Linked DNA regions of Daphnia pulex. The protein of the gene in region 1 interacts with the protein of each later gene in a pairwise test. Links are inferred from orthologs where the notes say so. Each region holds a gene or a part of one and is shown on either strand. Other genes may lie near its edges.

Evidence for each region.
Region 2: the proteins of histone acetyltransferase Tip60-like (region 1) and RING finger and CHY zinc finger domain-containing protein 1-like interact in a two-hybrid assay, tested with the Homo sapiens proteins (2 studies listed by BioGRID). The link is inferred for Daphnia pulex from reciprocal best matches to the Homo sapiens genes KAT5 and RCHY1.

Annotation. Positions count from the first base shown.
Region 1 is NC_060018.1:12,585,896-12,590,314, reverse strand, and holds histone acetyltransferase Tip60-like, read right to left. Parts: upstream 2,908-4,419; 5' UTR 2,857-2,907; coding exon 2,785-2,856; intron 2,723-2,784; coding exon 2,665-2,722; intron 2,591-2,664; coding exon 2,522-2,590; exon of another isoform or gene 2,458-2,521; coding exon 2,149-2,457; exon of another isoform or gene 2,082-2,148; coding exon 2,007-2,081; exon of another isoform or gene 1,935-2,006; coding exon 1,738-1,934; exon of another isoform or gene 1,676-1,737; coding exon 1,592-1,675; exon of another isoform or gene 1,530-1,591; coding exon 1,205-1,529; exon of another isoform or gene 1,141-1,204; coding exon 978-1,140; exon of another isoform or gene 911-977; coding exon 694-910; 3' UTR 607-693; downstream 1-606. Other genes in the region: serine/threonine-protein phosphatase 2A regulatory subunit B'' subunit gamma-like, read left to right, coding at 9-222, 287-414, 481-598; threonine aspartase 1-like, read left to right, coding at 3,041-3,142, 3,202-3,485, 3,551-3,734, 3,797-3,895, 3,956-4,396; arginine-hydroxylase NDUFAF5, mitochondrial-like, read right to left, coding at 4,412-4,419. UniProt on the Homo sapiens protein: Catalytic subunit of the NuA4 histone acetyltransferase complex, a multiprotein complex involved in transcriptional activation of select genes principally by acetylation of nucleosomal histones H2A and H4.
Region 2 is NC_060018.1:4,447,251-4,451,542, forward strand, and holds RING finger and CHY zinc finger domain-containing protein 1-like, read left to right. Parts: upstream 1-1,438; 5' UTR 1,439-1,540; coding exon 1,541-1,600; intron 1,601-1,807; coding exon 1,808-1,969; intron 1,970-2,037; coding exon 2,038-2,104; intron 2,105-2,176; coding exon 2,177-2,265; intron 2,266-2,350; coding exon 2,351-2,533; intron 2,534-2,593; coding exon 2,594-2,689; intron 2,690-2,753; coding exon 2,754-2,853; intron 2,854-2,921; coding exon 2,922-2,953; 3' UTR 2,954-3,544; downstream 3,545-4,292. Other genes in the region: protein KRI1 homolog, read left to right, coding at 1-171; transcription factor TFIIIB component B'' homolog, read right to left, coding at 3,665-4,292. UniProt on the Homo sapiens protein: E3 ubiquitin-protein ligase that mediates ubiquitination of target proteins, including p53/TP53, TP73, HDAC1 and CDKN1B. Mediates ubiquitination and degradation of p53/TP53; preferentially acts on tetrameric p53/TP53.

The DNA.
Region 1 (4,419 bases):
ATTTTCAGATTCGGAACTGGCACGTTGACGCGAGTTTTCATTCAACGAGTATTCGAGGAGTGCATGACCTATGAGAAAGAAATGGATTATAAAACGTACTTGGATTTCGTATTGGCCATGGACAATAAAAAGGAACCACAAGCACTTCAGTATTTTTTCCGTTTGTTGGACGTCAATCATCGAAACCATCTCAACACTTTTGACCTCCATTTTTACTTCAAAGTATTAATTTCCTCATTTGACCTTTTGACTTTCTTATCTTGAAAAAAAAAAAAATGCTTTGCAGGGGGTTCAAGAGTTGATGCAGCAGCACAAACAAGAAGTCGTTGCTTTTGACGACGTCAATGATGAGATTTTCGATATGGTGCGTCCTGCCGATCCGTCAAAAATCACTTTACATGATTTGATTAACTGGTAACACACAAAGTTCATTTAGAATTTTTTTAGAATAAGATTGTCATTGAACGTTTTCTGGCTCAGTGGATACGGTGAAACTGTGATCAATATCTTGATTGATTTGGATGGATTTTGGACATACGAGAACCGTGAAGCTGTTGTCGTAACAGACAAGAATAACCAAGAGAAACAGGACATTTGAATTTGGAATTCTTGTACATAGAAATTGTGAGTGTATTTTTTAAAAAAAAGCAAAGAAGTAGCAAGATCGCGGAATGGATTGTAGGTGCGATCTCATCACCATTTCCCTCTTTTGGACCAGTCTTTCGGTGTCCAGTGCAAGCATTTGGGATCGATGTGTAATTTCCATTTCTCTTTGTTTTTTATGCAATTTTTCATCGCTTCTTCGTTCAGAATGAGTACGTACTGCCCCTTGTAGTAATTGATGAGGTTCAAATGCTGTAAGGTGGACACCACGTCCTCTTTTTTAATGCTCGTCATTTCGCAAATTTCGCTATTTAAATTAAAACGAATTCGTTTGTCAACGTGAGCTCTAGAATGAAGTAATTTACATCACTTACTTGATGGTAATTTGAGGACGTTCACCTTCACTGGATGGTTTCATATTCATCAGAATATCACAGATTGTAAAAGCCCAGTAACTGCGATAAGACAGCAACCCTAAATCGGACAGAGGTTTTTCTGGCGAGCCCGTTTTGCCTTCGAACTTGGACAGCTCGTAACCTTTACGTAAACAAAAATGGTTTTAAAAAAATATTTCCCCTTGGGTTTACGATTCTGTACGCACTGAATTCAATAAGAAGTTTTCCATATCCTTTCCGTTGATAGGGTGGTAATGTTAAGATGCAGGCGACATTGTAGTCCTCCGAGCTTTCTTTCTCTTTGCTAAAGTAGCCGACGATATGAAAACCTCGTGCATCCACTTCAGTCATGACGTAAAAGAGGAACGGATCAGTGTCGTAATACAGTGTCTTGTGATCAAGGAACAGTTTCGCTAGCAGGCATAGGTTCTGAGCGTATGCTTTATTTTTACGGCCGTCGATTTCAAAAAAAGAAATTGTCTGTTTGCGGTAAACTTCATTGCCTGGCGGATGTCTAAGATTGCACTTCATCTGTAGAAAAAGTTTAAGGGTTGATCATCCAATTAAAAATATATCGTAAAATTTTAAATTACCAGATGACGTTCTAGACATTTTTCACTTTTCCGGTACTTGAGACAAAACTCGCATATGTAAATACAAGCTTGGTGAACCATTTCCTAATTTTTGAAAAAGAATAGTAAACATTTCGGATCTTTACGTTCGTTAGATGATGACATACCTGAGGGTAGGGTGCGAAATACCAAGGTTTTATTCTGTGTCTGCCGAGTTCAATCATTTGAATATTTTTCATTCGTGTTACAACGTCATCGTGATGTGTAACAAGACTGCCCGACTGACGTGGCCCTGGTGTAGTCGGTGCAGGGGTGGACGGTGGGGCCGGAGAGTTAGCATCTCCTACCTCACAAACTGAATCACCTATGCAGAAAATTTTAGTTTTAATAATCATTTATATATAATAAATAGATTGTAGAAAAAATGACTAATTACTTGTAGGAACAGCACAACTATCGCTAACTACGGTGGGTGGCAGAGTGGGGATTGCTGGTAATTCTTTTTCAATTTCTATAAAAATAAAATTTAAAAGAATTTATGAAAAATGTAAAGAATTAATGAAATAAAATAACTTTACTTATAAGTTTCTTGGCAGGTGGGATTGGAATAATGGATCCTGGACTGGGCTCTTCTTTTTCTCCAATTTTACGTTTTCTTCCATTTCTCTTTTGTATTGCTGCAGCCAGTAGAGCAGACCCATTGACAGTAAGGTCTGATGCACTGGATGCAGCTAGTGGGGAAGAAGGACGGGAAGAACCAGTTGTTCCTCCAACTTTTTTAGGAGTACTCATGCCTGTGCCTACTTGAGTTCCATCTTTTCTAGGAAACTGAATTTTTCTCGTATCTAAGAAATCTTCTGAGACCCAATCATCAAGTCGTTTGTTGACTAGAGTTGAATTAAAAATTTTGTAAGATGATGTATCGTTAAACATAGCATATACAAAACTTACAGTCGATGTAATGGACATAAAACATCCTGATGTTGCAGATATCTTTGACACTGAGTACTTCGGCTAGAGCTAAATGATAACAAAAGAAAAACCACAATTAAACTTTCAAATCTATAAAATGATAACAAAGCAACAAATGTTACGCCAGTCTTCGGTGTTTCTCATCCGTACAGGCAACCGACAGCCTTCAACAACAGATGCCTAGATAATAGAATAAACAAAATTAAACATGGTTTCTAATGAAATAATGTAAAAATTCATACAGTTGAATCTGAAAACAGATCTTTATCTACAATCTCTTCTTTCATTTTTGACAATGACTGTTCGGTCTTCATTAGAGAAAAAGCTTTCAAAACAACAGTGCGCGGCCATGAGCGACATTGCCGCTTTTGCCGGTTGGAAATGGTAGTCTTCTGCTAGCTCTCTCACAAACTGGACCGATCAGTCCCATTTCAAATTGTAAAATGAAATTTCGGTTATGAAAATTCTCGACAAAATTTAAACCATAAAAGTGCAAAAATGTCACAGTATGGATTTGTTGCTATTCATCTTGGAGCAGGCTGCCATAGTTCAAAATCTGAAGCTATTTACAAAAAACTTTGCAAAATAACGTGTGAAAAGGCATGGCTTTCTATTAGTGATTCATGGTTTCATAGTTTGACTTGATAAGTTTTTCCCAGGGAGCAGCTTTATTGCAAGAAGGAAAATCTGCACTAGATGTTACGTGTGAATTGGTTTGCATATTAGAAGATTCACCACTAACTAATGCAGGATATGGCTCCAATCTCACTGAGAGCGGTGAAGTTGAATGTGATGCAGGAATCATGTTGTCTTTGAAACATCAAAGAAACACACGATTTGGAGCAGTCTCATCACTTAAAAGTATTAAAAATCCTATAATGGTAGCCAAAGAAATCATTTTATACCAGAATGAACCAAGACTTCTTGGTAGAACACCTCCACTGTAATTCAAAATACCATTTGCATCACTTAAAATGAGTGGTTAAATTAACACAGCCTTTTTTTTAGTGTTCTAGTAGGAGAAGGAGCGTCTGATTTTGCTAAAAACCGAGGTTTGAATCTTGTTCACAATAGCACTCTTATATCTGACAAAGCCATGAGAAAGTATAAGAAATATAAAGAACGGCTGGAAGTATCCAGAAAAGCTTTATCAAGTGGGCTAAAGATCACAGTGCAGCCAAACCCAAGTCAAGTAATATATTTGGTTTCCTAAAGTAATGTTATCCAAATATCATGGTTATTTTTTAAATCTAGGATACAGTAGGAGTAATTTGCATAGATACGAATGGTGACATTGCAAGTGCATCGAGTTCGGGAGGAATTGCTATGAAGCTTCCCGGCCGAGTTGGACAGGTTTTCCTTTATTCCTTCTTGTCATTTTAGTAGTCATTTACAATGTGTATATTGCGATAGGTGCCAGTTTACGGCTGTGGTTGTTGGGCGCAGCATTCCAGCTCCGGTGGTGTTGCTGTGTCAACTTCTGGTTGTGGCGAGCAACTCATCCAAACAACCTTGGCCAAGAAGCTTGGTCAAACCATATTAGAGCGAGGAGATCCGGCTTTCCACTTGAAAGAGCTCATGTGTGACGAGTTCATCCATTCAGAAATGCTGTCTGATGACGTCTATGACCGGATGGGTGGTGTTCTAGTGGCGTATTATAGCGAAGATTCGATAGATTTCAACATGGCCTTCACAACTGATTCGATGGTCGTCGGTTTCATGAGCACTAACCATGAAAAGGCTATTGTTCGGGTGTCTCGAAACACGTCGCTTGCGACACCGACAAATGCAAATAACTCATCACATTCCAGTAGGTTGACTATGGAAGGCTTTATTGTGAAACTAATAAATTAAGGAGAACAACAAGCGTTACATCT
Region 2 (4,292 bases), about 8.1 Mb from region 1:
AAAAAGAAGAAGAAAAACAAAAACGCAACTGAAACAACAGCTAATAAGAAATCGGCCACCATTCGTGGTTTTGACATAACTGACGATCGCCTCAAAGCGTACGGCATCCGAAACCCCAAGAAATTCAAGAATGCCATTATATTCGGAAATTTGAAAAAATCAAAAGACTAACGGGGTTGGGACTTGGGAGTCAGATTTTGTCAGTAATTGTATTTGGTTTGATTGAGTGGATATTTCGAACGTTCTATCAATAAAAAGACTCGTGTTCCAATTCTTTGAAAGTTGCGGGTTCAAATAAAAATGTCTTCCAAAGAAAGAAAATGAGAGTATAAATTGATCGATAATGACGCTGCGCTCCTCATCTGATAACCTACAGCCAACGGTCTGTAACACGTGGGTCACTTATCTTTCTCGTCGAATAAAAAAACGCACATGAATTGAAATTGAAGGCCTTCTAAACAAATTTACCCAACAAAATCTTAAAAATTTGCAATGCTACTATAATCTCCATGCGAGAGAAGGAAAAGGGGATGACAAGGTCGACATTAAAAAAAGTTTTCGTGAATAAGTAAAAAATCTTCAATTGTCGCAGCTATTTATGTGCAACAGGTCACATTGGCTTACAATCTTTCGTACATTTCATAGAAAATTAAATTACCAGAGTATGCACAACCTCGCAAAAAAAGTCGTTTAAGTGTTTTTTCCTACCTTCGTAATGGTCACACGTGGGATTTGATGTTATCATGTTGAGGGTCGGCGGTTTGGTCGATTATGGTGTTTTGTCCCCAATTGTTCGGCAATGTTCTTTTCAACTGCTTACGAGATCGATGATTCACAATTCACAATCACAGGAAATGATTATGGCAATAATTATTCAGTCAGAGTTCACAGTCGCGCTATACACACTTTCAAATTCTACTGCCAAATTGTTGAGCATCCGACCTCGTGGGCCGCACGAGAACAACTAAGTTTTTCAAGGACCTTGCTGCCCTTTCAATAGGTAGGGTCATTTGCATATTTTTCTCAATTTGAACGTAAAAAAAAATTTCTTCGATTTTCTCCTTTCCTCCTTTTCTCCTACCTTACCCCGGTCCCCGGCCTTAAGTCCATTAATATTTCAAAACATGCACTCCGATAGACTGTATAAAACAGTATGGCAACATTCGAGTGTTTTGATTTTGAAGAACCGCTTTTAGAAAGGACAAGGAAGGGAGCTAGCGACATCTCGTCACAACAAATTTAAGTTCGTGATTAACCAATTAAAGATTAGAGATGAGAAAATTGGATGAAAATTAACTTGCTGGTTACTCTGGATTCCATTGGGAAATTAGTTTTTAAATAAATTGCTGCACAAACAAGACAAACGTGGGAAGTTAGGAATTTTCGGAAAGAAGTCGACCCAACATAGTTCATGTTCATGCCGCTAGGCTAAGCCCAAACCTACACGCTGTACACTAACTGGCCGAAACTCGTGTTTTCTTTTACACTGTGTACACACACTGCCAGATACTGACTCGTTGGAATAGGTGGAGGAGATAAAATGGCTGAGGAGAATGTCGAATACGGTTGCGAACATTATAAACGAAAATGCAAATTAGTGGTAAGTAGTTCGACACTTTGTTCTTAACCAAGTAATGTTGTAACTCAAGTTGGTCGGGAAATAACTGTGGGCACAATGTCTGAAAAATGACCATGATATCTCCTCGTGAAGATAATGCGGTTTTATAGTAATCCTGTTTAAAGTTGTATTGAGAAGTTAAATACTTAATTATTTATTATTTTACTAAACAATAATTTTGTTTTGTAGACACCATGCTGTGACAAAGTTTATACTTGCCGTTTTTGTCATGATGAGAAGGAGGAACACACCCTTAACCGAAAAAATGTGGATGAAATTATGTGTTCATTGTGTGAAACAAAACAACCAGTTCAACAAAACTGTTCCAATTGTGGTATCCTCTTTGGACAGGTAAAGTATCAGACTTTTTTCTTTTCTTTTTTTTTTCAAAATAAAGAAACCTTGATTTTGTTTTGCAGTATTTTTGTGGAAAGTGCAAGTTGATTGATGATGAAGATAAAAAGCAGTATCACTGTGAAGGATGTGGTAATTATTATTACATTTTAAAACCAATTATATTTAATCTTTGGTGACAACTCCTATATCTTACTTTTTCAGGAATATGTAGAGTCGGAGGAAGGGACAAGTTTTTCCACTGCCAAACATGTGATATGTGCTTACCAAAAAAACTTGAAAATCAGCATAGAGTAAGCATTTTTGTGGGATTCTAATTTATACATAAATTATTTTGGTTTTTAGTTCATTCAATTAGTTATTTTTGCTCTGTTACAGTGCGTTGAAAAGATGAGCCGAACAAATTGCCCAATTTGTTTGGAGGATATTCATACATCAAGAATTCCTTCACACATCCCATCATGTGGTCATCTGATTCACCGAACATGTTTCAATTCATTTATTCATCGTGGTCACTATGCCTGCCCAGTTTGTCAACGTTCAATGATGCCGATGGAATCGGTACTAAAATTTAAATTTATAAAACGAATTATAACGTTACCAATTGTGTTTCCATTCTAGTACTGGCGCATTTTAGACGATGAAATTGCCTCAACCCCAATGCCAGTGGAATATCAAAATTTTTTTGTCACGATTTTATGTAACGACTGCCATCAGGTTAGTCATTTCTCGGCACTAAAGAGTTTTTAAAATGTTATTATAATTAACAATTTTTTTGCAGTTTTCTGAAGTTCCAATGCATCCCCTTGGAGCGAAGTGCCAAAATGCACCATGTGGATCGTACAATACGTGCAGAAGCGGTGGTCCTGTTAATAGACCTGGTAATTATAATTTTATTAATCTAGAGGAACTGCGTACCACAAATCAACTTTTTCTCTTTTTTTTTAAGCAGTCAGAGAACAATCTCCTAACTCGGAATAAATGGCCATGATTATCAAGGGAATAGGATGTTGTTTGTCATTTACTTGGACGGCGGTTTTATTCTGTTGACATGCAATAATTTTATTGGCCATCTACTAAATGGTCGAGTTTGTATTTTAAAGGCTTTTAAATTTTCATCCGTGAATCTTCCACCTTATTCGGCGGTAGGCATCTGGAGCCTGTTCGTGAAATTGGATCGAAAGGTTTTGTGAATTTTTTTCTTATCGTTCAAGTTACTCGTACCCCGTCAGCCATCCTGCTGATGTTTGATACCTGTTTTGTTGCCCTTACCTCGTTGCAGTGGCTAAATTGCCGTCATATTGTAATGCACCGTAGTGAGTAAAAAAAAACATCAGACAAAAACAATGGGTAACATTTAGAAATGACTCCTCGAGTAGTTTGAAAATGGACACTGCCAGAAAAGTTCATATCCGAAATTATGAAGATTCTTCTGTGCAGCTTGTGAGTTTCTTGTAATTTTACATGTCATATTATTACAATTGATTAAGCACTTCTCTTCAATTCTATGTGGAATGTACCTTCTGAACATTTTCAAATAACAATTCTGTATAAATATACGTTGTTACCTTATTCACTGGCCTTAAGCAGTAATTAGATCGTTATTTAATTCTGGATGGCAACAACATACACACGCACACACAAAAAAAAAATTAACAGTGAAGGATTGGGCAAAATGCGTAGGGGATCTTATTAGGAGACCGGTTCAAACGGTTCGGCTATACGGTATACATGTACCAATTGATTATTAGGATCTCCGGGATTGGGTTCTGCCACCAACACTAAACTACCGGGTTCAGCTTGAGCAAACGCGGGATTGGCTTCTGCAAGAGCTGGAGGGACTAGAAAAGATGGAGCCTGGTTAGGAGTTCCAGGAACTTCAACGACGGTTAACCCACCTTGTTCTAAACCAATTTGTCCAAGGGGAGAATTCAGCAAACTGTCGAGTGGAATATTTGAATTTGGAGCAGTAGGGTTAGCATCCTTCGAACAATTTGCTGGTTCCAAAGCATCATTCTCAGTTGGGTTTGCTGGTTGTTCGTCGTCATAATCAAGAGGCTTTACATTCTTTCGTCGCGTTATTTTACCAGATCGGGATCCAATAGCCGTCTTTCGAGCTCTTGTAGACACTCGAGATTCAGTGGCTTTCCCCTTCCGGCCTTTTTTCGCAGGGGGTGCTATCTCTTCTCCAGATTCTTCGTTTGTTGTTTTCTTATCCGACCTGATAGATTCAATTGAAACTACATCCGAATCAGACTCATTCGGATTTGGTTCTTGGATGCTCACTGTTTTCTTACAGTGGAGTGGATTATTTGAAATT